Linked DNA regions of Caenorhabditis elegans. The protein of the gene in region 4 purifies or fractionates together with the protein of the main gene of each other region. This does not show direct contact. Each region holds a gene or a part of one and is shown on either strand. Other genes may lie near its edges.

Evidence for each region.
Region 1: the proteins of ech-6 (region 4) and F58D5.9 fractionate together in Caenorhabditis elegans (co-fractionation; one large-scale study listed by BioGRID). This does not show direct contact.
Region 2: the proteins of ech-6 (region 4) and K08D9.4 fractionate together in Caenorhabditis elegans (co-fractionation; one large-scale study listed by BioGRID). This does not show direct contact.
Region 3: the proteins of ech-6 (region 4) and kat-1 fractionate together in Caenorhabditis elegans (co-fractionation; one large-scale study listed by BioGRID). This does not show direct contact.

Annotation. Positions count from the first base shown.
Region 1 is NC_003279.8:12,042,680-12,050,985, forward strand, and holds F58D5.9 (Cystatin domain-containing protein), read right to left. Parts: upstream 3,940-8,306; 5' UTR 3,915-3,939; coding exon 3,590-3,914; intron 3,346-3,589; coding exon 3,270-3,345; intron 3,219-3,269; coding exon 3,118-3,218; intron 2,718-3,117; coding exon 2,557-2,717; 3' UTR 2,522-2,556; downstream 1-2,521. Other genes in the region: F58D5.5 (uncharacterized protein), read left to right, coding at 86-307; ksr-2 (Kinase suppressor of Ras B), read right to left, coding at 5,206-5,497, 7,366-7,826.
Region 2 is NC_003283.11:3,195,776-3,204,490, forward strand, and holds K08D9.4 (AB hydrolase-1 domain-containing protein), read right to left. Parts: upstream 4,649-8,715; 5' UTR 4,639-4,648; coding exon 4,519-4,638; intron 4,468-4,518; coding exon 4,314-4,467; intron 4,261-4,313; coding exon 3,979-4,260; intron 3,886-3,978; exon of another isoform or gene 3,865-3,885; intron 3,324-3,864; coding exon 3,106-3,323; intron 3,060-3,105; coding exon 2,898-3,059; 3' UTR 2,769-2,897; downstream 1-2,768. Other genes in the region: Y73C8B.1 (AB hydrolase-1 domain-containing protein), read right to left, coding at 1-137, 408-689, 746-899, 946-1,065; Y73C8B.5 (EF-hand domain-containing protein), read left to right, coding at 1,772-1,778, 2,168-2,250, 2,298-2,558.
Region 3 is NC_003280.10:7,071,972-7,080,406, reverse strand, and holds kat-1 (Acetyl-CoA acetyltransferase homolog, mitochondrial), read right to left. Parts: upstream 6,594-8,435; 5' UTR 6,593-6,593; coding exon 6,383-6,592; intron 6,281-6,382; coding exon 6,017-6,280; intron 5,921-6,016; coding exon 5,768-5,920; intron 5,718-5,767; coding exon 5,582-5,717; intron 5,533-5,581; coding exon 5,193-5,532; intron 5,119-5,192; coding exon 4,998-5,118; 3' UTR 4,896-4,997; downstream 1-4,895. Other genes in the region: T02G5.7 (Acetyl-CoA C-acetyltransferase), read right to left, coding at 3,343-3,463, 3,635-4,008, 4,054-4,601, 4,651-4,780; kars-1 (Lysine--tRNA ligase), read left to right, coding at 8,066-8,169, 8,234-8,435.
Region 4 is NC_003281.10:9,751,052-9,754,663, forward strand, and holds ech-6 (putative enoyl-CoA hydratase, mitochondrial), read right to left. Parts: upstream 1,833-3,612; 5' UTR 1,825-1,832; coding exon 1,522-1,824; intron 1,476-1,521; coding exon 1,265-1,475; intron 1,217-1,264; coding exon 918-1,216; intron 696-917; coding exon 642-695; 3' UTR 501-641; downstream 1-500. Other genes in the region: vps-53 (Vacuolar protein sorting-associated protein 53 homolog), read right to left, coding at 2,777-3,145, 3,353-3,612.

The DNA.
Region 1 (8,306 bases), on a different chromosome or scaffold from region 4:
TTGAAAATTCCGAATTTTCCACTTTCCAGTGCATTTTCTTGCATTTTCCAGCCTAAAAATCCCTCAAAATTTCTCAATTTTTCAGCTCCAAGTGCCCGGACAGCTCGAAAACTCATCCCGTCCATCATCATCCATCTCAATGACGTCATCAGCTTCATCGTCAACATCTTCTCTCTCATCATCGGATGCTCCAATGATCACAATGACACCACGACGTGCTGCTCAAAAAGAGATGAAGCCAAAGACTGATGTGCTCGGAGTTCGTGTCTGTCCACTACAGCTCATCGCAGCAATCGCCTCGGCTTAAAGCTTCTGGATTCTGGATTTCCCCCTTATTTTTGGATTATTTTAGTGTATTTTTTGGGGGGTTTTTTGGGTTTTCGAACTGAAATTTTGGCTTAAAAAGCCTAAAAAACCCCTAAAAAACTGAGATAATCTAATTTTCCCCTGCAAAACTTATCCATATTCGTCTCTCTCAACAATTTATCACAGTTTTGGCTTCTTTTTTTGAAAATTTTCACTTTTTTTTTTGTTAATTTGCAATATATTTTGTTTGTCTTGCTGCGGGGGATTTTTTCGTTAAAATAGAGAAAAAAAAATCGAAAAAATTCCCCGCGAAATCCCCGTGTGCTACTAGAAATTCTGAACCATTGTAGATATTTCGGTTTTTTTTTCGAAATTTCTTTCCCGGAATTCGATAGTACAAATACAGGTATTCCCCCGTCCCGTTTTCATTTTTTGACCCGAAAAATCTTAGAAATTCGATATTTTAGACCGCCCATCTTTTTTTTCGCGTTTTTTTCCTTTAGTTTTCCCCCCCACCAAAACGTGATGATTTTCCTGTACATATTGGATTTTTCCTCACCTTTTTCTTCCATTTTTTGTCCATTTTCACTTATATGTTTTGTTAATTATTGGTTTTTGCCCCCCACAAAAATGCTCAAAATGGCTCCAAATTTCCCGGAAAAACGGGTTTTCTTTCGGCGAAAATTTTGAATTATTTAGTGAAAAAATAGCCAAAATTCTCAAATTTTGCACGGTTTTTTCAATTTTTTTGCAAATTTTGGTGCATTTTCCGTAAAAATCGACAAAAAATTGCGAAACACATTTTTCCGAGTTTTTTTTTTGCCGATTTCGTGCAAAAAACGTGGGAAAATCTGCAAAAATGCAGAAAACAGGAAAAAATTGATTTTCTGCCACTATTTTGCAATTTTCGGTCGATTTTAGTGCATTTTTAGCCGATTTTGACTGAAAATTTGCAAAATATTGATTGAAAATTAAATTTTATCGATTTTTTCTGATATTTTGGCTTTTTCCCAAGTTTTTTGTCGATTTTGTGCACAAAACGTGAAAAAACCGATGAAAAAAAACTTGCGCGTCAAATACAATGCACTGCGTACACTCGCGGTGTTTGCACCGAGTGCATTCTAATTGACGGGCAAAATCTTTTTTTACACTGAATTTTTACGATTTTCTTGAGTTTTAGCCAAATTTGCTAATTATTCGTACATTTTTGTCCATTTTCAGTCGATTTTCACTGAAAATTACCAAATTTTTCGCCTAAAAACTGTTTTTCCACGGAAATTTGGAGATTTTCACAGTCTCAAAAATCAATAATTATCAAGTGTGTACCCAACTTCAAAAATTGATTTTGGCCGGGTCACACGCCACTTTTTCTCGATTAGTTTTTCAATATTTTCTGGGAAAACTCGCCAAGAAAAATGGGCGGCCTCTAAATCTCTATTATCGATTTTTCTTTTTTCATTTTTTTTCATTTTTCCCCATACTGAAAATCGACCTTTTTAGGTTATTTTCACTCTGTTTTTGTACCATCTTTTCTTCTTTTTCTCTATGTCTCGTTATTTCTGTGTTAGCACCCCCACTCTCTCTCTCTCTCACTCTATCTCTCTCTGTCTCTCTCTGTCTCGCCACGTCATATTTTAATGTTCATATCCCCCCGAGTCTGGTCACACTATCCTACAGTAACCAAGCCTACAGTCTACAGTAATCCTATATATCTATCAATATCTTATAATCTTTTAATATATATAATCCACACAGTTTAGCTGCTACAGTAATCCCGGCTAAATTTGTTCTCTAGTCTATTGGTTTTTTTTGAAAATTTTAAATTTTCCCCCTCACCCACCCACCCATTCATTTAAATCTCTCAGAAGCCTTAATTTTTAAATTTTCGCGCGAGTCGAACCTCGATCTCCCAGGTTTTCGCATTCCTTCCCACTTTTTTTTCCATCTTTTTTCCTGTTTCTTGGCTATTTTTTGGGAAAAGTATCAAATTTCTCTCGCGAAATTTGCGATTTCCCGAAAATTTGCCAACTTTCCACTGAGATTTTGGCGTTTTTTGCGCATTTCCACCTCTACCATCTGTACGGATTGCGATTTTTTTCACTGAAATCGAATAGATCACTATCAAGACAAAATTTCCAGGCTTTCAGGCTCTCATTAGGCTTGTCTGGACTATTTTTCTTGAAAAGAAGAAGAAGTAATAAATACGTTGTGATCTAAAAAAATATTGTGTTTTTTTTCAAAAATTCAGAATTACATAAAAGCATAAAATGAGATTCCAGTGTACATTAATCGAATGGAATTTGAAATTGGAAGAGAAAAAGTTTGAGATTTATCGGCCACTTTGGATTTGTCGGCTTTCCGTTTGGATTGGGGGCGAAGACGGGCGAGAAGGCGGATTCGAGGGCGATATTCTGGAAAATTTGAATTTTTTTCCCGTTTTTTGGGAATTTTTAGCCCAAATCGCTGGAAAATAGGCCAAAATCGATAGAATTTTTTGCAAAAAACTGGCGAAGTTGAATAAAAAAATAATTTTTTTTACAATTTTTAATGAATTTTTCCCATTTTTTCGCAAATTTTCGTCGTTTTTTGAGAATTTTCCGTTTAAATCGGTGGAAAATAAGCTAAATCGACAAAAATTTTCAGAAATATGTGGAAATTGGATTAAAAAACCATTTTCAGCGAATATTACGTAAATTTTGGTCGATTTTGGTGCATTTTTTGCCGATTTTGACTGGAGAAGTCATATTTTATGGTTTTTTTTTTCGTCGATTTTGGCCCATTTTCAGAAGATTTTTTTTTTGGCCAACTCACTGCAGGAGCTCATCATTGTATCCAATTTTTCCGTAATTTCCATCGTTCGAACCTTCTCCAGAATCGCTGAGAGCCTGGCGTAGATATTTGGACTTCTACGGCTGAAAATTATAAAATTTTAGTGAAAAATCATCAAATTCTGTAAGATTTACCCATCAGGGCGCCTCAATCGGCTGATAGTGACACGAAATCCGACGAGTTGAGTTTCCGACGGTGTTACCATGCATACTGGAAGAATTTCAAGTTATTTTTAATCAAAAATCATCTGAAATTAGCTAAAAAATTCAAGAATTTCGAAAAAAATGCAGAAAAAAAGATTTGCGCGTCAATTAAAATGCACTCAGTGCAAACACCGCAAGTGTACGCAGTGCATTGTATTTGACGCGCAAGTTTTATTTCTGGGTTTTAAAGCATTTCTACAGCAAAAAATACAATAAAATCAATTAAAAATCTAGATTTTAGGCCCAAAAACCTTCAAAAGCCAATAATCGTCCTGCCGCAATATATTGCTCCGCGAGCTGACAATTTTCTTCAACGTGTCGCTGAAATCGTGCATCCGGGCATTTCGAATGCTCATAATCCTGTCCAAACTTCATTTTCGGCCAATCCGCCGTGCTCGGCGAGCATCTTTCCATTGCCACGTAGCAAAATGACGTCAGAAAGTCGCAGAAAATGGCGGTATCCCGAAGATTGCCACCAACACGTCGGCGATGCTTCTTGCCGAGAATTACGTGGTGGGGAGGTTTAATGATGACGGCTTTGGCCGTTGTGATGTTAGTTGCTCGAAGAGATTTCATTTTTAGGGTCTTCCTGGGGAATCTGAAAAAAAAATTACCAAGACGTTTTTATCCTGAATTTTGCGATTTTTAAAAAAATTTTACAGAGAAAAATTCAAAAAAAAACCGCGCCGCGCTTGCTTATTCTAAGGCCCAGACGCCAAATTTTGTGATTTTCGCGCCAAAACTACGGTACCAGGTCTCGCCACGCCTTTTTTGAACTGCGAGCAGGTGTGCGCCTTTAAAGATTACTGTAGGAATTTTTTCAATCAAAAACTATGAAAAATCGGTTAAAATTCCACAGCAACCAAAGTTCGAAGTTACAGTAATTTAAAGGCGCACACCTGCCCAAAATGCTTTTTTCACGATTTTTCTCCAAAGTTGTAAATTTTAGAGAAAAAATCGTGTTGAAAACTCAATTTTTATGCAAAAGTCGGTAATTAGGCCATTTGGACTCGGCTACGGCCGGGGTAGATTTACGGAGCGGCGCGTGTCGCGTCGCGGCTAGTTTTTCATTGTAAAACTGAATAAAATGGTTTGTTTAACGGTTTTTAACGAAAATTTACAAAATTAGGTTTAATTTAACCTAATTTTGCAAATTTCAAAGGGAAATATTAAATTTTTCAAGTTTTTGAGAGAAAAATCGTAAAAATGCCCAATTTCAGCCAAAATTCGCGCGAAAATCCTGAAATTCAATCAATTTTCAGCGAATAAAATTACATGAAATATGTAAAAAACTCCTGGATAATCCCCAAAAAATTCCAACTAAAAAGTCGATATTTTCATTTGAAAATTGAAAATTTGTCGAAAAACTATATATAACTATATATCAGGGGAGGAAGGCGGGAACAAAAAAATTTCAAGGCAGCACAGAAATGGTAGAAAAAAAGAAAATATAATTTAATATAAATAAATCATTGGATAAAATTGGAATTAATATAGTAGGAATCCGGTTGTGGTATATAAAACTCGTTTTTTGCTTCTTTTCAGGGGGGAAAAAGGATGGCACAGGAAGGGAAACGGCGGGAAATTAAACTTAAATTAAAAAATTTTTTTGGCGGGATTAATTTGGGAAATTTGGAGGAAAATAGGAAAACGCGGATAAAAATGATGGAAAAATGGGATTTTTTTTCTTTTTCTGATAAAACTATGATATGATTATGAAACAAGATCAATGGCAGGGGCAGGGATGAATATAGGATAAATATTTGTATATATATATAGGTATTTAAATGGATAAAATGTCTAATTTCTTCTTCTTTTCTCTTCTCTCTCTCTCTCTCTGTACATAAAAAATCGATAATTCTACACACTAAAACAGTGGATTCTCGTGTGCCGTGCTGCGTCTCTTCTGCTTATTCGACTCTTTTCTCGGCATTTGAACTGTAATTCGCTTCACAATTTGTTGGAAACTCGGCCGCTTCTCCGGTTGGCTCGACCAGCATTCCAGCAGCAGTTCGTGCAATTTTCCGTCGATTTTTTGCAGCTGGGCGTCGAGCCGTTGAAGTGCCGCTTTTTGGCCGCACATTTTCGCGTAGAGCTTCTGATCCCAAGAGTCACAGCCCGTTGGCATACGGCGGAGCAGGAGTTCGAAGAAAATTGTACTGAAAATTGGGAAAATTTTCAAATTATTGATTTTTAAAACTTTAAATATAAAAAATGATAGTTTTTTGACTAGTTTTGAAAAAAAATTAATTTTTATTAAATTTTTCCCAATATGTCGATTTACGCAGCATTTTTCAGTGTTAATTTCAAAGTTTAAATATTAAAAAAAAAATTTTTTTCGCTTTTTCAAAAATTGTCGATTTTTAACTCAAAATATTCAAAAATTGAGATTTTTTTCACTAGTTTTGTGAAAAAATCTTCATTTTTAATGATTTTTTCCAAATTTTTCTCAATGTGTCGATTTACGCAGCTCTCTCGTGTACTCCTCGTGGAGAAGAGGTAAAGATTCTCCAATTTTTAGCTAAAACTCTCAGTTTTGGACCATTTTCACTGGTTTTTTTGTATTGAACACACAAAATCGTTCATTTTTTGGTGAAAAATACAAAAATAGTCTCAATTTTAGAGTTTTTGACCAGTATCCATAATTTATGAATTTACTGGTCAAAAACTCCAAATTTGAGTGTTTTTTTTCGCATTTTCATCAAAATACATAGAAATAAGCAAAAAATGGACGATTTTGATGTTAATCACAGAAGAAAACTAGCGAAATTGGTGCAAAACCGAGAATTTCACCTAAAAACTGTAGAATCTTCGGCTCTTCTCCACGAGGAGTACACGAGAGAGCTGCGTAAATCGACAGAGAGGCTCCAGCTCTTCCATTTTTTAATTTTCGCTAAAAAGAAGAGCACCGATTAGCAAAATTTCACAAATTTTTACGAAAAAAAAACGGTAGCCCGGGTCTCGCCACGATCGAAAATTCCCAGCTACCGTACCCCCGAGAATTTCGCAGTTTTCCCGATATTTTGAAAAATACGCCAAATATCAGGAAAATTACGAAATTCTCGTAGGTACGGTAGCTGGGAAGTTTCGTTCATGGCGAGACCCTGAATACCGTCTTTTTTAGTAAAAATTTTGAAAAAAAAATGGAATTCTGTCTTTTTCTTGACATTGACTTATTTTTGTCCATAAATTACGAACAACACGCCAAATATCAAGAAAATTACGAAATTCTCGGGGGTACTGTAGCTGGGGAAGTTTCGATCGTGGCGAGACCCCGAGCTACCGTAGTTTTTCGTAAAAATTTGTGAAATTTTGCAAATCGGTCTCCCAAACTCCATTAAATTTGAAAATGGAAGAGCTGTCGATTTACGCAGCTCGCTCGTGTACTCCTCGTGGAGAAGAGCTCTAAAAACGAATTCTTGTGGCGAGACCCAAGGCTACCGGATTTTCTGGCCAAAAATCGCATTTTTTTTCGCAATTCGAAAGCGGTTTTCACTTAAAAATCCGATAAAATACGAAATTTCCTGGTTTTCTTGGTGTGTTTTTCGTAATTTATGAATAAAAATGAGTAAATGTCAAGAAAATGGCAGAATTCAATTTTTTCGAAATTTTTACGACAAAATACCGGGGTCTTGCCACGATCGAAAATTCCCAGCTACCGTACCCCCGAGAATTTCGCAGTTTTCCCGATATTTTGAAAAATACGCCAAATATCCGGAAAACTGCGAAAGTCCCGTGGGAACGGTAGCTGGAAAGTTTCGGTCGTGGCGAGACCCTGAATACCGTACTTTTTAGTAAAAACGTCGACAAAAATTGAATTCTGTCTTTTTCTTGACATTTACTCATTTTTATTCATAAATTACGAAAAACGCCCCAAAAAACCAAGAAATTTCGAAGTTCTCGGAGGGACTGTAGCTGGGGAAGTTTCGATCGTGGCGAGACCTCTGGCCAAAAATCGCAATTTTTCGCATTTCGGAAGCGGTTTTCAATCAAAAAAAATTAAAAATTCGATAAAATCCCCCCGTACCCAAACGAATAAACATCAGATTCTTGTGAAAACGGTAGTTCATGTTGAAACAACACATCACCCCTCCAATCAATCATCAAATTTCCAGCAATTTCCGGCGAAAGATAGTCAATCCAGTGATTTGGGATTAAAAGTGTACAATTTCTGCGGGGATTCTCCAGCCGCTCAAGCTTCATCAACGCAAAATCCGTAACAACGACTCGATTCGGATTGTCCAAAAGAATATTTTTCGTTCGTAAATCTCGATGAAGTATCTTCTTTTTATGCAGATAAGACATTGCCTGACAAATTTGCAACGAAATTTGAAATGTCCACGATTGATCGAAATCTTCGGATAATTGTTCATGAATTCGGTGATAAAGAGTGTTGTGTTGATAGAAATTCGTGACAATTGCGTACGTATTCGTCACTGGATCTGATACGTATCCGTAGAATAGGGCTATATGATCGTGCCGCGAGTTCTGGAAAAAAATCGAATTTTTTTTTGTGGGGTAATTGTGTTTTTAATGCCAAATATATAACAATTTTGCACAGAAAAAAAGTTGAATTTTTCATTTTTTAAATTAAAAATTTTTTTTTCGCAATTTTTGTTGAAAAAATTTTTCGCATTAATTTAGCACAGAAAAACCGTTTAAAAATCGTAATTTTACGAAAAACTTGGATTTTTGGACACGAATTTTTAACAAAAATCCAATTTTTTTAGTAGTGTAAACAAAAATTTGAAATTTTCAGACAAAGGGTCATAGAACATATGCCAAAAATGGTTCATTCTCAAAAAATTTTTTAAAATCAATTTTCGGTAATTGTTATAACTTTTGCATTAACATCTACTCATTTTCGTTAATTCTATAGTTTTTTTTTGGGATTTTTTGAGTATTTTTTTCACAAATTTTTTATAATGTATACTTTATTATGACAAGAGTTCTGGAAAATTTGTTTTT
Region 2 (8,715 bases), on a different chromosome or scaffold from region 4:
GATCATAGTTTTTGTGGGCTGTTCATTCAATTTCAGAATGTATTCCAGTTGCTTTTCCAGGTCACAGTTCATAATTGCTCGAATAACCGCCACGGCTTCCTCTCCGTCTTGAATTTTAAATCCGACCGATTTCATTACTGGAAATTGGAAAAGCTATTTATGGTTCAAAAAGTTACAATTTTCAGTTTGCGGAGACCGTCAACCAATCAGCGGTGCGCGGGGCGTGGCCAACATTGCTGATTGGCTGGTGCTTTTCAAATTTGAGTGCATTTTTGAAAATAAGCTTTCTACACATACATTTTCAAAACTTCGTGAAAAATCCGACAAATTTCTTCTAGAAACATTTCTCCACTTTTGAAAATACGTTGGGAAATTTATATTTTTTCGAGGAAGATAAAAAAACTTACAATTATACATAATGGTATCTCCTACCGTTTTCGGCAATTTTTTATGGAAATATACCAGAGATTCCAGCTTTCCCTTCGGACGAGACCCTTTATGAATTCTCAATCCAGTCGGATTAACCATTACTAGTCCATGAGGTTTCCGATTAGTAGCTGTTATCAGTGCACTTTCACACCCTCTGCTATGCCCCATTATGATCACTTTTCCCTGCACATCTAGCTCGTTTAACAATGCTTCTGAGTAGCTATTTCGTTCCCAGTTTCCGAAATGTTGACCGGGGTAGGCTGAAATTTTTTTAAAAATTATTTGATGGTTTTTTTAAAAAATAAACTGAAATTACCAGGAGTTTGCTTGAAACCTGGGTAGTTAATGCCAATGAATCTAATATTCATGTGCTCCAAACGCTGCCTAACATACTTGAAATCTTTGTGAGATCCTGGAGTTCCATGGAATCCGATTACAGTGCCCAGTGGTGAGCCTGATGCAGAAGTATCCTAGAAAATTGACTATTGAATATTAAAAACCTTTGGCTTACCGTACCTCATAAACTGCATTTAAATCTACCAATCTTCCCCTTTTGGTTTGGAACTGCACCAGCTTTGAGTACAACTTTGGCTCACTGGCGGGTAGGATGGAAAATGCTCGTTTTGACACAATCATTCTTGAATTTTTGAAATTAACTCTGCAAACAATACATCGAAATGAAACAGTTTTAGGAATTTGAATTTAAAACAATTGAAGTCGCGTGAATTTTTAAACGTGAAAATTAATTTTTTTTAAAAATCAAAATTTGATTAGTTGTCTTTTTAAATAGTTTTTTTTCCAAATTTTTTGTTTTACAATTTTTTATTGAAAATATAGCGATTGTTAAAATAATAGCAAAAAATCAAAATTTAAAAAAACCACAACAGACTGGCAAAAAGGAGAACAAGAAATGACGTCAAATGCGTACCCACAGGAGGAAACCGGTCAGATGTGTCTGTGTAGTCAGTGTGTAGCCAATGCACCCCCTCCTGTACTTTGGACCCTTGTCTATGTTTTAAGAAATTTTCAAATACAAACCTTAAACTGCAGGGCACTTTTTTCAGATTGAAAACTTTGGTTGGCCCAAAATTTGTTTTTTTTTTCAAATTTTTGTTGGCGTTTTCTGGGACAGTATTTCAAAATCTAATAATTTCTTGTATGTTTTTTATTGAATAAAATTACTATCACAGTTCTCAAATTATAGTCGTTGGAAATATTTTTCTTGGTGAAGATTCTCGGCGAATTCGGCAAATCGGCAAATTTGTCGCACACCCCTGATGTAGAAATAAGCTAGGCCCGTAACTAAGCATCCCGTTGGTATGACCATCTATAAAGCCGGTATATGATAGGTAGGTAGGAAAGCCTATTTTCACTGTATTTTCAGAAAATTAGTTGTATTTTATTGGTTTCTGATATCTGGCAGCAGGAAAACGAGTAGATAGGCGTAGGTCGGCTTGAAGGCAAATATGCATTTTTGGGTACTATTCCTTTTCTTGTACCTTGATAGCGTCCTACCAAAAAATAGCTGGAGTTCTGGAAAAATCGATTTTTACAGCATTCTGTGTCAGTTATTGAAATTATTCGAAAAATGTTTTTTTGCCAAATTTTACAATAGAAAAAATCGTGCTTTGCTGAAAGTATTGGATATATTATCCATTATAAATTCAACGGAAAACATGTTTTTATTAAACAAAATATCCATTTAAAAAGGGCACCTGTAAGTGAGTTTACATTCAAGCCATCAATTCTATCTTCTTCCTACTCATCATTCTCGCCTGGATTCCAAATTTTGGAAGTTCTCAGGATAATGAGGCTCTTGGAGTGAGTTTTTAATAATGTTCGAAACAATTTGTATAGATGCTTTACAGGAGCTAACAGGAGCTATGTTGTCGCTAAGAGGCTTGGCACAGAGTGAAGAGAATTTTAAAAAGGTGTTCCAAGAGTTTGACGAAGACGGAAATGGCTTCATCTCTGTTGCTGAACTGGAACCCCTCTTCAGCAACTTTCAAGCACGGCTGTCTGCCGAAGGGATTCGCAAAACTTTCCGTTACACCGATATCGACAGAAATGGTCAAGTTGATTTAGATGAGCTCATCGATGTAACCAGAGCTGTAAATCCTTCTCTTTAGAGAATCACCAACCTCAAATTTTCCAGTTTCCTCCTCTTATCCTCTCGTTTATAAGTATTATCTTCCCTAAAAAACTTTGAATAAATATTTCATCAACCTTCAATTGAAAAACTCTTTTTTTTGCCGATTAAAAACTTTGGTTCACCTAAAATTCGTTGTCTTTTGTAATTTTTGCTGACTTTTTCTGGGGCAGTATTTCAAAAGCTAAATATTTTTTGTAAGTTTATTATTGAATAAAATTACTATTACAGTTCTCAAATTATAGTCGTTGAAAATATTGTTCATGTTGCAGATTTCCCTTTTGTTTGTAAAGTTAAACAATTTGAAAATTTCAAAACATTAATTTAATAACATTGATCTAGCAGCATCTGCCAATAAATCCGCCCGCTTCTTATTTTGAAAATGATTATCCTTTGCAATAAATACAGATGTTCCTTTTTGATTTTTGAAACTTTCCATTATTTTCTGCTTTTCGGATTCTGTGATATTCGCTTTGAAATTCTGAAATTCCTTCCAATTTTTCAAGTTTTTCTATCACAAAACTTACAAAATGCGCGAGTCCCTGATACTTTTTGAGTGCTTCAAAAACAATTTCCTTTTCAATTAAATGATCACTTCCGCCAAAAGTGATCATAGTCTTTGTGGGCAGTTCATTTAATTTCAGAATGTATTCCAGTTGCTTTTCCAGGTCACAGTTCATAATTGCTCGAATAACCGCCACGGCTTCTTCACCATCATGAATTTTGAATCCAACCAATTTCATTACTGGAAATTGAAATAATTTATAAGATCTGAAGTATCCCTGAAAATTTCGAACATCCTTTAAAGGTGGAGTACCGAAATTTGAGACTTTGCTTATTTAGACCCAAAATGACCCAAAACCATCGACTTTCATAATGAGATGTTTTGAAAGTTTCTCAAAAACGGGTTTTTTCTAAAACATTGAGCCGACATAACTTTTATTTGAAAAATTTTCAGAACATCTCATTACGAAATTTGGTAGTTTTGGGTCATTTTGGATCTAAAAAAGTAAAGTCTCAGATTTCGGTACACCACTTTTAAAAACTTAGGTCTAACGAAAATACGTATTCCTAAACTGCCAAAACTACACTTTAAATAAGCCACTACCAATAATTTTGCTGCGTTTTGAACTAGAAAATTTCCGATCTCAAATTTTATTTTTACAGGACATTTTTCCAATTGTTCTGAAGCTCGTAAAATTGCTCTAGGGGTAGGCAACATCCAGAAAACTTTTCAGATTTTTGCTTTTTTTTTAATCAAAAACGCTCCCAAAATGAAAAAGTTTATGAAAAAATCCAACTTTCAAGCATTTTGACGAGCCTCAACAGTAGTAAAACACCACATTGAAACATTTTTTGGTAGTGGCCTATGGCATATTTCTCATTTTGCTTATACTCACAATTATACAAAATGGCATCTCCAATCTTTTTCGGCAATTTCTTATGTAAATAAATCAGCGACTCCAACTTTCCCTTCGGACGAGACCCTTTATTAATCCTCAACCCTGTTGGATTAGCCATCACTAGTCCATGAGGTTTCCGATTAGCTGCTGTTATCAGTGCATTCTCACATCCTCTGCTATGCCCCATTATGATCACTTTTCCCGGCACATCTAGCTCGTTTAACAGAGCTTCTGAGTAACTATTTCGTTCCCAGTTTCCGAAGTGTTGACCTGGGTACGCTGAAATTTATTTTTAATTATTTGATGGTTTTTTATTAATTAACTGAAACTACCTGGAGTTTGCTTGAATCCTGGGTAGTTAATACCAATAAATCTAATATTCATGTGCTCCAATCGCTGCCTGACATACTTGAAATCCCTGTGAGACCCTGGAGTTCCATGGAATCCAATCACAGTACCCAATGGGGAGCCAGATGATAATGAGTCCTGAAAAACTGACTTTTAAATTGAGAAATCAGTATTTCAGTGTCAACCTACCTCATAAACTGCATTTAAATCTACCAATCTTCTCCTTTTGGTTTGGAACTGCACCAACTTTGAATACAACTTCGGCTCGGTGGCGGGTAGCGTGGAAAATGCTCCTTTTGACATAATCATTATTGATTTTCTTGAAAGAATTTGTATCATAAATCACCAATTTGAAACATTTTTATTCACGAGATATTATCAAATTTAATCAAATTTGTGTTTAGAAAAAAAAATCTGACCTTCTCCATTTTTGTACTAGAAACGTAAAAAATACAACGATTGCTGGAAAATCAAAAAGACAAAATATAAAGCACAACATGAAGCTGGCATGTAAAAAAAGAAAGAAGATATGACGTCAACTGCGTACCCAAACGAAAAAGAGGAGAGAAGCGCGGGTCAGCTGTGTAGTTGGAGTGTGGCCGGTGTGCCCATCGGGTACTCTGGACCCTACTGGAATAAAATTTTAGCTTTACTATTAGATGAGTTTTTTTTTACATTTGATAAAAAAACAAGCTTTTTGGACAATTTTTTCTGGCCAAAAGAAAATCAAAAAATAACCGTCTAACAATTGACATTGAGTTGCAACTGTGTGAAGACGTGAAAATTTGAGAAAAAAAAATTCGCATTCAGAAAAATGCAAAAATTACACTGTAAACTGAAAAAAGCTCTAAAATATGAGTTCAACAAAATTATACGTTTGGCCAACTGCGAAGATTTGCAATTTGGTCGCCTGATGCCGAAAACTTGCCGAAAATTTGCCCATCGATAGCTGAGTTTTTAAACCAGTCAATTGAAGTATATCAGGAAAAGCGAACTCACAAGATGTCGGTCGCTGCAGTTTTTGACATTTCTGGTATTTTTGGGTGTTGTTTTTTTGTCAAAAATAGGGGACTTTTCAGATATGTATGTTATATCACATGTTATGTATGTTATGTATGTTATATTAGCCGATATGGAACCAAAAATTATCGAAATTGGTTACCTATCGGCTTTAAATATACCTTATATCAACGAAAGTAAATGAGATAAACTACCAATATATGTAATAAAGGACGATAATTCCAAAAAAGTCAACTTCGGACATGAATCTTATTTCGCAATGAATCTTGCGCAATGAATCTTATTTTGGCACCTCATGTCCTATGCATGTTTAATACTTTTACCCATTATTCATCTCCCTGACACCCGCACATTCATGTACCAACTAATCAACTTTTCAGATGATAATTCATTTTCTGTATGTTTATTAGTTTTCTGTATGTTTATTATCGTATGTTTATTACGTTTATTATCATGATTTCAATCGTAATAAATTCAATTCAATTCAATATGTAAAAGCGAGAATACAATTTATTGTAAAATTACATTTTTTGACAGCCTTTATTTCCGAATTTTCAAAAAATACAAAAAAAATTCAGAAAGAGGAAGGAAAAAATTCAAGCAACTACATGAATTTCCTAAAATTGAAAAAAAAAATCGTAGTAAAATTTTTCAAAAATTAAAAAAAAACAACTTTTAAAAATTTCAACGAGCGGATTCAATGGTGTTTCAAATATTTTTTAATTATTGGTGAGGGTTTAAACCAGCGATTCTCGAATTTTTTTCACCAAAAATTTGACTGAAAATGTTGAAAAATGTTAAAATTTTGAAGTGTTTCATTAAAATACTGAACCGGCAATAGGTGGGCGGCAATTGCCATTTGGCAATTTTGGCAAATTTTGTCGACAAACTCGGCAAATCGGCAAACTGCCGGTTTTCCTGATATTTTCAATTCCGGCAACTTGCCGGTTTGTCGATTTGCCGGATATTTTCAATTCAGGCTATTTGCCGATTTGCCGTTTGCCGAACACCAATTTGCGGGAAGTGTTTAGAGGGAATTATTTATGAAACCGAAACACTTAAATTTGCGCCTTTTTGAAATTTTTTTCCCCGTTGTCTTCAGATAATTTCATAGAATTTGTGTACTTTTCGAAACAGATGTAGGAACATTCATAGAATGCGTACAATTTTGCCGATTAAAATTGAAATTCTGAAATTTCCAAAAAAAAAACTGTACAAAACGACAATTTGGGTGATTTGCCGGTTTGCCGATTTGCCGGAAATTTCATTGCGGTATATTGCCGGCAGCTTCGATTCCGGCAATTTGCCGATTTGCCGGAAAAAATAGTTTGCCAACCACCCCTGTATTGGGTTATTTGAAATGATTATTATTTCCCATTGGTTATATCTTCAATGTTTAGCAATGCAATAAAATTATTTCCCCCCCCCCCCCCCCCCCTGCAAATAATTCCAGTGACAATTTTCCATAAAATAAATATGTTCGGCAACTCTGCAAAAGAACACCAGGTGTGTTCATAAAGTCGTATTGTGTGGAAGTTTGAACACTGGAACTTTGGATTCGTCGGAAAACAATTCATCATAATCGAATTTCTACATATGCAAAAATTCAGAGTAGTTAAATTCGCTTAGCAATATACGGTGATCTACAAAAAATGCGGGAGAAGAGACGCATAGTTCTCAACTGATTTCGTATGGTTAAGAACGTGCTGACGTCACATTTTCTTGATAATAAATTCAATAATAAAGAGAGTATGCGCCTTTAAGGAGTACTGCAGTTTCGAACTTATTATTTTTGCAGAAATTGAAAAAAAAGTTGTTCTTAATATGGAAAAGGTGAAAAAAAGGAAACTACAGTACTCCTTAAAAGGCACACCCTAATTTTTTTTATTTAAAAAAATCGGTCGTGTCCAGATCATCTGAAATTGAACTTATGAAGAATATGAAATATTTTTAACCGAAAAAAAAAAAACGAAAGTACTGCGCAAAAACCCATTCCAATTAATCCAGAGAAACTACTTTTGAAATCGGAAAAAAGTGCATTTTCGTTTTTCATAGTGTTTTTTTTTCTAAACAGCGGTTTTTTTTTCAAAATTTGCAAAAAAATAAACTTCTTCAGAAAAAAAAAAGAAAAATAAGTTTTACAGAACATTTTTTAAAATATTAATTGGACGCAGAATTTTTTTGAAATCGACGTGAAAACGCGCCCCACGGCTAATTGAAACGCCCCGCCGCCCGAGTCATGGGTCTCGTTAGGAATTTGACAGTAAAACCGTGGTGCCAGGCTGTCCCATTACGTTTTTGATCTACAAAAAATGCGGGAATTTTTTGCGCAAAAAAAGTGACGTCAGCACCATACGAAATCAGTTGAGAACTCTGCGTCTCTTCTCCCGCATTTTTTTGTAGATCTACGTAGATCAAACCCAAATGGGACACTCTGACACTAAATTCAGAGTTTTCCATTAGTTTTGCATGCTTTCAAACAATTTTCGTCTTGATTGAAAGCATGTAAAACTAATTGAAAAACTCAATTTACACGTGGTGTCAGAGTGTCTCATTTCGGCGTGATCTACGTAGATCTACAAAAATTGCGGGAGAGAGACGCAGTGTTCTCAACTGATTTCGCATGATTAAGAACGTGACGTCACATTTTTTGGGCAAAAAAATCCCGCATTTTTTGTAGATCAAACTGTAATGGGACAGCCTGGCTTCACGTGAATTTAGAGTTTTGCAGCCAAATACCTAACGAGACCCAACGTATAGGGGCGGACAGTTTTTCATTGGCCGTGGAGCGCGATTGCGCCATTTCCCCAATTTGTTACTAATTTTTCTTCCATTTTCAACCAATTCACTTTTTTCAGGGAAAAAGCACAAATTTTTTCCAGCTTCCTCGCCAAAACGAAAATATTTTGAGAAGCATCTTCGATCGCCGGGCGGCGGCCGATTTTTTTCACACATCGCTCACTTCTCAGTGCATTCTCATGCAAATCGTCGCGTCCCTGGCACACAATCACAAAAGTCGGGAGGGGTGGTGGTAGATAGAAGGAAAAGGAAAGAAAAGACAGTTTTCAATATATTTGAAATATTTTCTTCTTCGTTTCTTTTTTTGTGCTCTTCTTTTATCCAGTTTTTTTTTCAATATATTTAACAATAATCGTGGCAATATTGAAGACTCCCCCACATCTGTTGTTAGTCGTCGACGCGGCGCCGTTGTGTGCACATATTTCAATCGGAAAGTTCTGAGTTAGCAAAAACAAAGAGCATCTGTCAAAACGTTTTGATGATTTGATGACGAAGAGTGAGGTTCTCAATTTTATCGCCGGTCCCGTATTTTATGCTCCGAAAACTCTTTTGTTTCATCTCCGTATT
Region 3 (8,435 bases), on a different chromosome or scaffold from region 4:
GAAATCTAAAGTCTTTTCTGGAGTAGTGACGAAGATATTTGGAGAGCTCCAGTTCCAAGACGTTCTGATAGTCAGTGCTGTTCATCTTGCTACTGACGAACTGTATCTCAAGCTTCTTCTTCTCCGTGAACGCTCCCCAAACCATCACCGTTCCTCCTCCAAAATTACGTCTCGAAAAAACCATTGGTTCCTTGCGCAAATCGCGCCAATAGTAGCGGCAACCGTCAGGCCCATCGAGATTGAATTTCTTTTCATCGGAGAAGACAACCTAAAACAATGATCCTAATTATTCACTCTTGCTTTTTTAAATTCTCACTTTACTCCAATTCGTTCCCATATTGTTCTTAGCAAATTCCAATCGCTTGAGTTTATGGTCTGCAGAGAGTAACGGAGCAGGGCGAAGTTTCTGACGAACGATTACACCAGATCGTTTGATGACATTGAGGATGGTCCTTTTTGAAGCAGACAATTGAAGCTCATTGCGAATATCTCTTGCCGTCTTACAGGAGTTGGAGGCAGCACGAATCACATTTCGTTCGTCACGCACGGAGAGAGCTTTGCGACGAGGAGCTCTTTTAGATGTACCGTAGCTCACCGGATCCTTCAGATACTCGCGAATACAGTGTCGAGAACGGGAAATTTTCCTACTCATTTCATGCAGGGACACATTGAGCAATTTCATAACATCCAGCTGAGCGCGTTCAGTGTCCGAAAGGGCAGATCCTCGAGGCATTGCAAGTTAGACTGCTTTCGAAGTAAGCTTTCCAGCCTCTATATGTGTGCCACAACACATGCCACAATTCCACATTTAATAATTCACGCAAAAAATAGTAAATAACATCTGTGAGGGACAATTTAACTTGAAATATTGGTCCCATGGAACCTTGTAATCAAAGAAAAACGATTTGATTCCTGATAAGCCTTCCATTGTTTCCTGCTGCATATTTTGCCAAATCAGCTTGACTACACAGTCGAAACATCTAAAGTGCGTGCTAGGAATTTTAGTAGGAACTTGTTAAAGAGAGTTTATCAAGTTTTGGCATTACCGAGAGCACCAGGAAGCTTGAAACAGACTTGAACATCAAAGATCGGAAGAATCAGAACCAGTCTGGAGATCCCACGAGAACATTTCGTATTAATTTTTTAAAGTCAAAACTGCTTATATGAACTCATTTCTAACTCAAACTTGATTTGAGCTTTGTCAAAAATTCCAAAATCTGTTGATTTTAGTAAAAATCGTGAAAAAAAACGGGGGGTCCTATAGAAGTTTCACACTGGATTTTGACGTTTTTTCCAGCGCGACCTCAGTTTTTGAGATAAACTTCTGGAAAAAAATTTATATAGGTTTTTTTCAATTTAAAAACGAACGGCATTAGCAGTTTTTCGAAAAAATTTTCGGAAGTTCCTCAAACCTTCAAATTAGGGGGGGTCCTATAGAACTTTCCCACACTGTATATTCAATATATTTCTAACGTGAGCATTTCAGGTACTGCCCAATGAAGCCGTCGAGCCAGTTGTCCTTCAATGAGGATTTCAGCCGAGATTTCGAAAACCGCCGATTCCAGCGCAGTCGTTATCAATTTTACAAGCATTCCTCATTAATTCAGAAGATCTACGCATCATCCGAAGATTCTTTCTAGAAGATCCAATTTCTCAATACTTTTTTATATCGGGTCCAACTCGTTTATTTTCTACAAGCTTTCACAAACAGATAGTTTATTGAGTTACCCGTTCATAGCCTTTATTGATTCCAAATTTCCCATCTCACACTTTTCTACGGTCTATCATTTACTTTTTCTGCTAATAATGAATTATTCATACCGTATAATGGTCTCTATATTATCCACGTAACAACTTGTGCTTTTTCGTCGAATTGTCATCAATTTGTGGAAGAAAGTGGTAACTGAAAGAAAGAAGTTTCGAAAGAAATAGTTGTAGAGTTGTAGAATCACTTGTCAATTGCATTTGAATAGTTGGCGAGAGCTGCAATATCGAGAAAATGTGTAGCCAGGAAGGTATAGCTCTGAAAATAAAAATTTACAATTCGTTTTTTTGTTTTTACAAGCACATGTAACTTTAGAACCTTCTCACAAATCGCATAGGTGATGGCGATTCCTTCTTCAGTCGATGTGCTTCGTGCTAGCTCATCAAGAACTACAAGTGAGTTTTTATCGGCATACTGTACGATTGCAGCTGCATCTGACATTTCAGATGCAAATGCAGACTTATTTCTGATCAACTCGTCGTTATGACCCATTCTGGAGAAGATACGATTAAAAACTGAAATTAATTCGACGATAGAAAATAGCAAATCAAAACTTTTAGGTTACTTGGCAACGAAGCATAGTTTGCTGGAATGAAGCATCCTACCTATGCCATGATTGCTAGTTGGGCAGCTTGTTTCAGATATGTTGACTTTCCAGCCATATTTGGGCCTGTAATAATTCCGAAACGACGATCTCTTGTCAGACACTGAAATTACAGATAAAATGAAATCAATGGATTCCTATTCATTACCGTATCGTTTGTGATTGTTTTCTCGGAATCATCCCAGTCCAGGAAGATACTTTATTGAGTTACCCGTTCATAGCCTTTATTGATTCATCTCATTTCTTCACCAGGCTCGTCTTCCAACGCTGCAACATAAAGTATTCTTCATACGAGGATCGTTTGGCCCAAGCCAATTTGAAGTCAGTGCAATATAGGCGGGTCTTGCAGATCCTTCGCACCTACCACAACATCATAACTGGAAACTTCCACTACCCAAATGTGTCATCGTCGGTGAAGAAAGCTGTAACTCCAAGATACCCCTACATGCTCAGATCTGTTGGCGAAACAAACAAAGGATTCCTCAGAGCCAACCTCGCCACCTGGAACCGCCTAGCAAAGCAAATCCCGGAAAAATTAAATCGCTCTATGTTTGCTTCCCGGTTAAATTCTTCCCCCCTTAATATTCTCATTCCCCCAACTTGATCTCTCAAACTAATAATGGTTTATGGGATCATTTTATCATCCACCAATTCTTCCCTGTGATTATTTGTATACGATCTCCCCTTATATGTTTTGCCTTGAAGACGTGAATGAATGATATATCTCAAAAGAAAAATGCTTTTCCGATTTTTCCAGTATATCTCTTTTGAGATGGCTCAAAACCATTCCTGATAATGTACATATTAACCTTAATTCATTTCCCAATCAATAACACGTATGCACCATTTGAGAATAAACATTTATGTGACAAGAACCTTAACTATTTATAAATACGTAATCGAAATTTGTTGTAAAAGTGAATCAAGGAATGATGAATAGAAGACCAGAAAACATTTAGGCAAGAGGTTCATATTACAGTTTTTTGATGAGCACTGCTGTGGCTTCTCCTCCTCCGTTGCAAATTGCAGCTACACCGAGCTGTCCTGGAGCTAAAGAATATGCAAGGGAGTTGACGATTCGGAGACCAGACATTCTGAAAATTATTAAAATTAATATAGGTTTGTTCGGACTTAAAGTTTACTTTAAAATTTGTATGTTTTGTTTTTGTGTTTTAGAATGTTTTTTTGCTATCAGAATTTTCTCTGTACACATTCTAATTTTTCCGAAAACGCTCACTGAAGTTTGAATCAACAAAAAAACTTACCCAAGTGGATGCCCAATCGCTACTGCACCTCCTTTTACATTAACAACACTTGGCTCAATATTAAGTTCTTTGATGAAAGCAAGAACAGTGACGGCAAATGCTTCGTTGAGCTCCCACAATGCAATGTCTGAAACTTGGAGCCCGCTTTTTTTGAGAAGAAGACGAACGGCGTCCACTGGTGCCACGGTGAAATCAATGGGAGCTCTTCCAGCTTCAGCAAATGCCACGAGTTCAGCAAGTGGATGAGCTCCTTGTGGAAGAGCATTCTCTCCGACAACGACAGTTGCGACAGCTCCATCATTAAGCGAAGATGCATTGGCCGGTGTGATGGTTCCAGTGCCGTCACGAACGAAGACTGGTTTCAAAGAGGAAACCTAAATAAGTTTAATATTTTTGATAAACATTTTCTTTCTGCATACCTTTGACTCGATCAGTTTCTTATACTCCTCATCTTCAGTGATCACTACTTCCGATCTCGAAGTCTTAACACTAACTGGTACCACTTCTTCCGAAAACTTTTCAGAACTCCATGCATTTGAAGCTTTTTTATAACTTTCAATAGCATATGCATCTTGTTCTTCTCTAGTAATTCCATAATCTTTTACAGTCTTCTCAGCACATAATCCCATTGGACCTTTCTCTTTAATATCTTCAAGTCCATCCTTCGAGATTCCATCTGTCATCTGGATTCCTCCAAATGGAATTTCTCCTCTCGGCACGTAAAATGGAACTTGACTCATATTTTCAGTTCCAACAACAAGAATAGTGTCATAATATCCTGCTTTGATTTCCACAGCTGCTGTCACCAAGGCTTTCATCGAAGAAGAGCAAACCTTGTTCACCGTAACAGCTTGCGTTGTTACTGGAAGACCAGCCGACAAAGAGATCTGTCGGGTCACATTTTGTCCTAGACCGGCCGGAAGTACGCATCCACCAATTACTTCTTCGATTTTCTCCGGAGCAACTCCTAAAAATATTTAATATTTGTTTCAAAATTTCATTATCAGTAATTTAACCTGATCGTTCAATTGCTGCCTTTGCAGCGACCGTTCCGAGCTCAACTGCGCCAAAGTTAGCGAAAGATCCTCGGTAAGCTCCGATGGGAGTGCGAGCTCCACTCAGAATGAAAACTTTTTTATCCGACATTGCGATAGACTGTCTGAACTTTGGATTATTAGAAAAATCGCATACGAATAAAAAAAGATAACTGAAATTGGTTTGAAACCAATGAAAGAGAAGTAGATAATCAAAATAATAAATGAATCTATTTACCGGAGTTTCGATATGAGCGAAAAATACATAAATACAAGCTAATCGTGAAAAAAGGTAACAAACTTTAAACGAAAAAAGTTAAATTATAAATCTATAATTTCTGGATAACCATTCCACTTGAGCCACCACCTCCATTGCAAATGGCAGCAACTCCGATTTGGCCACTTTTGAGTGTGTGCACAAGATGAGTGATGAGGCGGGCTCCGGACATTCTGAAAGAAAAATAATCGATAACAAATTTACGATAAGAATGCGGAAAGAACGGTCAACTGATATGGCAACATACCCGATGGGGTGACCAATTGAAACAGCTCCTCCATGTGGGTTCACAAGGGATGGATCGACTCCTAGTTTTTTGATGAAAGCAAGGGGAACACATGAGAAGGCTTCATTAACTTCCCATTGAGCAACATCTGATTGCTTCACTCCTGCTCTTTCAAGAATTTTTGGGAACATCAAAGTTGGTGCTACAGCGAAATCGAGTGGGTGCGTGGCGGCATCTCCATAAGCCAAAATTCGGGCCAGAGGCTTTAAGCTTTGCTCGGAAACTGCTTCCTGTGAGGCAACAATGACAGCAGCTGCACCGTCGTTCAATGTTGAAGCATTAGCAGCAGTGATAGTTCCGTCTTAATATATTATGTTGATTTCAATTTTCACGATAAGAATAGTACAAACCTTTCTGGAAAACAGTTCTCAGCGAGGTGAACTTGTCGAAATTGACTTTTGTGAACTCTTCATCTTTATCAACAATCGTGACTCCCTTCTTTGATTTGACGTTCACTGGCACCACTTCTGGTCCGATATTTCCATTCTAAACAACATGGAATCATAAAACGCACAAAGAGCAATCAGTTGACAAACCTCCCATGCTTTAGCTGACTTTTTGTAGCTGTTGATAGCATATTCGTCTTGGTCTTTACGTGTAATTCCCATTTCTTTTGAAGTCTTCTCTCCGCAGTTTCCCATGTGAACTTTATCATAAGCATCGGTCAGTCCGTCTTTGACGATTCCATCCTGAATAAGAAAATGTGAGCATTGATTTCTTTTAAAGAAGTTTAAAGACTATTTTTAGACAATTTAATATTTTTTAGAAAAATAAATTAAACTCACAATCACTTGAAATCCACCATATGGGATCTCTCCTCTTTGAACATAAAATGGTACTTGTGACATGCTCTCCATTCCTCCGCCAATGGCAAAATCTTGATGACCGGTTTGAATTTGCTGGGCAGCAAGAATGATTGCTTTCAGCCCAGAAGAGCACACTTTATTGACGGTGGTAACAGCAACCGAAAGATCGAGTCCGGCTCCAAGAGCTGCTTGACGAGCGGGAGCTTGACCAGCATTTGCTTGACAGACTTGACCAAGGAACACCTGAAATTGAGGCATTTTAAGATTAAATCGGTAGTTTTTGGAAGTGATATAGAATTTCAGATATTACTAGTATAGAAAAATGCAAACAAAGAACACACTCGCCTCCTGAATTGAACTCGGCTTCACTGCTCCACGCTCCAATGCTGCTTTGATGGCAACCGAGGCGAGCTCTGGAGCAGTTACCGAAGAGAGAGAAGAACGAAATGATCCAATAGGTGTACGGGCGGCTCCGACGATGAAAGCATGTTTGTTTGATAGTGCAGCAGATGTGGTGATTCCGCGGCGAATTGCGTGTCCAGACGATGACAACATTCTGAAAAAAAAAAGAATTGACTCGACACAACTTGTTTTTGAAAATAAGATAAGAGAATGAAGAAATTCGTTCGGATCGAGATGAATGAGAGACAGAACAGAAGAAAGGAAAGATTATGATGGTTAAATAGAAAAGCTAGTACGGCGGTGGAGCGAAATTGCACTTTCTGTAAAAAAAAAGAAGGAAAGAGAGATATAGATTTTCTAGTCAAAAGTAGTGCTAATAAGGTTTTGTCGTTCTCATAAAAGAATTGAGATTAGTTACGTGTAGCTGTGAACTTTGGCGGTTTCGATACTCCTAGGAGCTCCTTGATTCTTTCATACAGGAGTTGCACTTGCTTTTCAAGAGTTCCCACGTGCAATTGAAAGTCAACTGTTCTTCTGTGACATCACACTGGAGACAGTAAAGAAAGAGAGTGAGAGCAATGTTCATATATCTAAGATCAAATGATGATGACAATATAAACTATCATTACACAACATTTCGATGCAAAAACGTTGAACTGTCTCTGAACTGCCATTTTCTAACACCTAAAGTGCTACAATAGGGGAGATAATCATAAATTAGATTTACAGCCTAAAAATTATGAACATCAAACGCGATTTTTAAAAGTTTGATATATATTTTAATCAACAATTCAATATTCGCCTAACAATTTTAAAATGCTCCATTTCGAATAATCAGTTTTCTTACTGATATTTTTTTAACTAAAACAAATGATTTCACAACAAATATTGCAACACTTTCCATCAGATTAAACAAGAAAACGCAACTCTGATAAGCTTTGTGCTTTATAAATAAAACAAAACAAAAATTAAATTACTAGCTTATGGTTGAATGAACTTTGGAAAGTTCTAAATTGGAGACACTACCGACACTGGAGAAATGTATTCCGTAGAAATGCTGCTTCATTCATGCGCGTTTTATCCATTGAATGCGTTAATAAAAACTTTGCTTAAAATATTGAAAATATTATTTTAAAGCTTTGAATAACTTTTTGAGTTAAATAATAAAGATAGCCTTCCAAAAACTACCATCGAATCTCTAAATTTCTTTCCTCCGTTTTCCGTTTCCTCATTAAATACAAACGCGCTCTAAAGCCAATGTCCGAACGCTACAAAATTTGGGAGGAATTGAGCATTTTAAAATGCATTTTGAGATGTTTTCAGCTCATTTTCATTTAGATTTTTCGCTTTTTGTCCATAATTCCGATACAAACTTATCTGAGACAACAATAAAAATGCGTCAAGTGTGTCTTAATTTCCCTAATCTTCAGACTGAGATATTTCGCTTTAGTTTTAGGATTTTCTAAAAACATGAGTTGAATTGTTCCGTTTTCTGCTTTATTTCCATAATTCCATGCAATTTTTCTTAAATTAATTGATTATTATTTTTCAGCCACTTTCAAGCACTGTCACAGGGCAATGAGCGAGCCAGAGGCCAAATTGAGTAAGAAGTAAGTGAGAAAAATGATGATCGTGTCTCATTCGATGTTGAGCCGATCGGCTGTTTCATTCTTGCGACGTAGGTCGTCTTCATTTTTCGGGACGTCAGTTTTTCTGAGCCAAAACACTCGGTTAGTCGACGTGTCCTCAGATTTTGTGACAACCAGCACCATTGATCAATAATGTTTCTTTCAGTGAGCAGAAGAGGCTCGCCAAGCAAGCCAAGAAGGAACAAGAACGTCTGGAGAAGGATGCTGCTAAGCTGAATGTTGCCGTCGCTGATGCTCCAAAAGTTGTGCGAGAGGCGGATCCTTCTGACCCCCAAGAGTATTTCAACATGAGAGTTAGGATGATTGAGGCCCGTAGAGCTGCTGGTGATAATCCATTCCCACACAAG
Region 4 (3,612 bases):
GAGAGAGGTAATCAGATATAGAAAATATTAGAAGAGATTGAGAGAAACTAAGAAAGGGCGGCCGAAAATTGGTGGTTAGGTAATGATATACTAGTATAGTAGATAAAAACATTTTTGTACAGTAGAAACTGAAACTGAACTTAATAAATCGTGATAGGGAAGATTTTTCAAACTTTGCCGCTTGATGTTGCTCCCTGCCGGCCATTAAATATTACAAAACTCACGGGAAAGAACCAGTCAAGCCACATCGCTGTCCACTGTTTCTGTAGTGTTTAATTGATTTTTTCTTCGAACAACATAAACAATCAGAAATCACAAATTTAATATTTAGCAGACCCAAGGTGGGTATGCTATTATTCAGCATACAAGTGTGTAGTGTTTCTGTAGTGTTTAATTGATTTTTTTTTCAAAAAAAAAACATAAACAATCACAAATCACAAATATGGAAAATCGAAACTGACTACAAAAAAAAAGGAATCAGAAAATCGTGAAGATGCAGCTTTACATATATATTTATTTTCAATGGCAGAAGAAACTAACCGTAAAATACAGAAAAAATACAAAACACAATAAAAATAATAAAACAAGAAATTCAACTAGGCACTTTGAATCATCTTCTTCTCTTATCTGTAGATGCGCATCTATTTCGACTCCCACTGTGGCTTTCTCTTCTCGGCAAAAGCGGTCATTCCTTCCTGAAAAACATCTTTTAAGGGGAATTTATCAGGTTTTCGAGAAAAATACTAAACTAGGTAGGAAACTGATTATTTCATTTTAAGAGAAGGTGGAATAAAAACTGGAACAATATTTTGATCACTGTATTTATTTGGCAGTTTTTCTACCGTAATAATAAATAAGTTTAAATAATTTATCTACAAAACTAGATTGCAATTTAAAAATTCATTTTGATAATTTACCTTTCTATCCTTGGTGGCAAAAGTGGCATGGAAAAGTCGTCTTTCGAAGTGAAGTCCCTCTTGAAGAGTAAGCTCATAAGCTTTGTTAACGGCCTCCTTTGCCATTTGAACAATCAGTGGAGATTGATCAGCGATTTTCTCTCCAAGTTTCACAGCTTCCCCGACAACCTGATCAGCTGGGAAAATCTTGCTCACAATACCGTGCTCCTTAGCTTCTTGAGCAGTCACGTGGTTTCCAGTAAGGCACACCTCCATGGCAAATGATTTTCCGGCGGCGCGAGCCCAACGCTGAGTACCTCCTGAATCATCGACGTTTAAAAATTTGATTTTAAAATATTGTCAATTACCTGCTCCTGGAATAGTTCCAATGTTAATTTCAGGTTGTCCAAAACGAGCCTTCTCTCCGGCATAGATAATATCACACATCATTGCCAACTCGTTTCCACCTCCCAATGCAAATCCGTTCACTGCAGCAATAACTGGCTTTTTCACATCACTGACAGCGGTCCAGTTGGAGAGGAAGCTTCCAGAAAATGTGGTGGCGAACTCGTTATTGGTCTGAAATCCGATAATTTTTAAAAAATTGGATTATACGCTGACTAACCATCTCCTTGATATCAGCTCCAGCGGCAAAAGCTCTCTCACTTCCAGTAATCACAATTGCTCCGACAGACTTATCAGTATCCAAAACTTCGAGAGCATCAGCCAATTCAGTCATAAGCTGAGCGCACAAAGCATTCAAAGCTTTTGGTCTATTCAGCTTGATAAGAGCAACATTTTGCTTCTCTCCAACTTTCTCGATCTTGATCATTTCAGGAGCTTTGCTTGAAAATGCGGCGACTTGCATTTGGTTGACATTTGCACACAATTTGGCATTGCGAACCAGCATCGACGAGAAGCGCATCATCTTGATTTCTGAAATTTCAGAACTTGAGTTGGAAAATGTTGATAACTAAGAAATGAGAAGAAAATTGGAAGTATTCAAGAAAAAGAAGACAATTGTAAAAGATGCAAAAGTGAACGAAACAGATATGAAAATAGACGCAGACAGTGAGAGATATACGAACGATAGAGCACACAGTGTGAACTGTGATCTATGAACTAATCAACAATAAAAACAAGAAAACACTGCTTTTTAAAGGTTTTTCTTGTTGTTATACAACGTGTCTAAACGTGCCAATTTTTACGTTTTTTCGTCAAGAAGACTCTAATTTGGAACAATTATAATTGTTATTAAATAACACAGACGCAAAATTTAGATTTTTGCCAAAAGAAACCATATCCGGTCTCGACACGACAAATTTGTGTGAAATACAAAAAGATGTGCGCATTTGAAGAGTACTATAATTGCAATTTACATAGCAATTTTTTAGATCCAAATAATTGTTTTTTATTTTCTAAACACATGAAAAATAAAATTCCGAAGATTTAGACCAATTTGGTATGCTGAATAATTAGCAGACCAATTTGGTATGCTAATTATTTATTGGTAAAATTTTACAACAAAAAGGGGAAAGCAGAGACAACTGCGCGAGATAACAGAGAGTGGGTTACTGTACTACTTAAAGGAGCATTCCTTTTTTCACGGCTTCAAAATATTTCGTTTGTGGCGAGAGAGGATACGGTATCTTTGAGTTACTGCATAATAAAAAATCAAATAATTTCGGAGAACAACCCATAAAAATTAAATTAAAACAAAAAGTATAAAAAGTAAGAATTAGAAATCTTATTCACAACTATTAAAACATTTCACATGAATAAATAAATAAATACAAAACTCCGATGAGTATTCTGAGAAACTTTCAAATAAAATTATGTAAATAAATTATAAATTTCGTTCTTTGGTAGTAGATCAACAATCACAATTGTCGTTTGACTAGTCTTTCGAATCTTTTAAGCTTATCAATTGATGACGTCACTGCTTGATCAGACAATCCATCTGCTGCCATTGATACAACTGCATTGAATGCTTCAGATACAGATGCTGCACTTCCAACAGTTGGTAGTGCTCCACCAATCCGAGAAGTTAGACTATTCGATTGTTGAATTGGATCCGAGCCAGATGCACCGATTTTCAATCGATAAGCGTTGAGAACTGCCGAATGCTCTTGTCGTTTAACTCCTTTCATTTCAAGAACTTTTTGCATTTCTGCTGCATCCGACGCTGGTAGAAGTTTAATATATTGTTCAACAAATTCATCGACAGTCTCCAAACTGCACATTACTACCTGAAAAATTATTTATTTTGAATTTCGCGTTTTTGGAAAAATGGAAAACAACAAATTAAAATTTTGGTCTTTCTAAACTTATTTTGACTTTCGAATTTCCGGAAAATTCACAATTTTTTTTTAAATTAAAACCCATGTTTAAAAACCGAATTTTGTTTTTTGATTTTTTGATTTTTCGATCTCTTTAAAAAATCTAAAATGTCTCACTTTCAAAATCATTTCAGCTTTTGTCAGAGCTGCATTCACACTGGTAACGTATGCCGTTGGTGGTTTTGAGTTGATAATACTATCAATTGATGGTACACTGAGCAAAAATGTTTTTAGCGAATGAGTATCAAGTAACAGTTGCTCAGCTCCATGAGTACTAATTGTTCGGCAACGGAATAATGATCCAACAAATTTGTGAGCAAGTTGAGTTGCGAGTTTTAGGCAAAAATGAGCAAAATATTTTCGGCGATCGGAGAGCA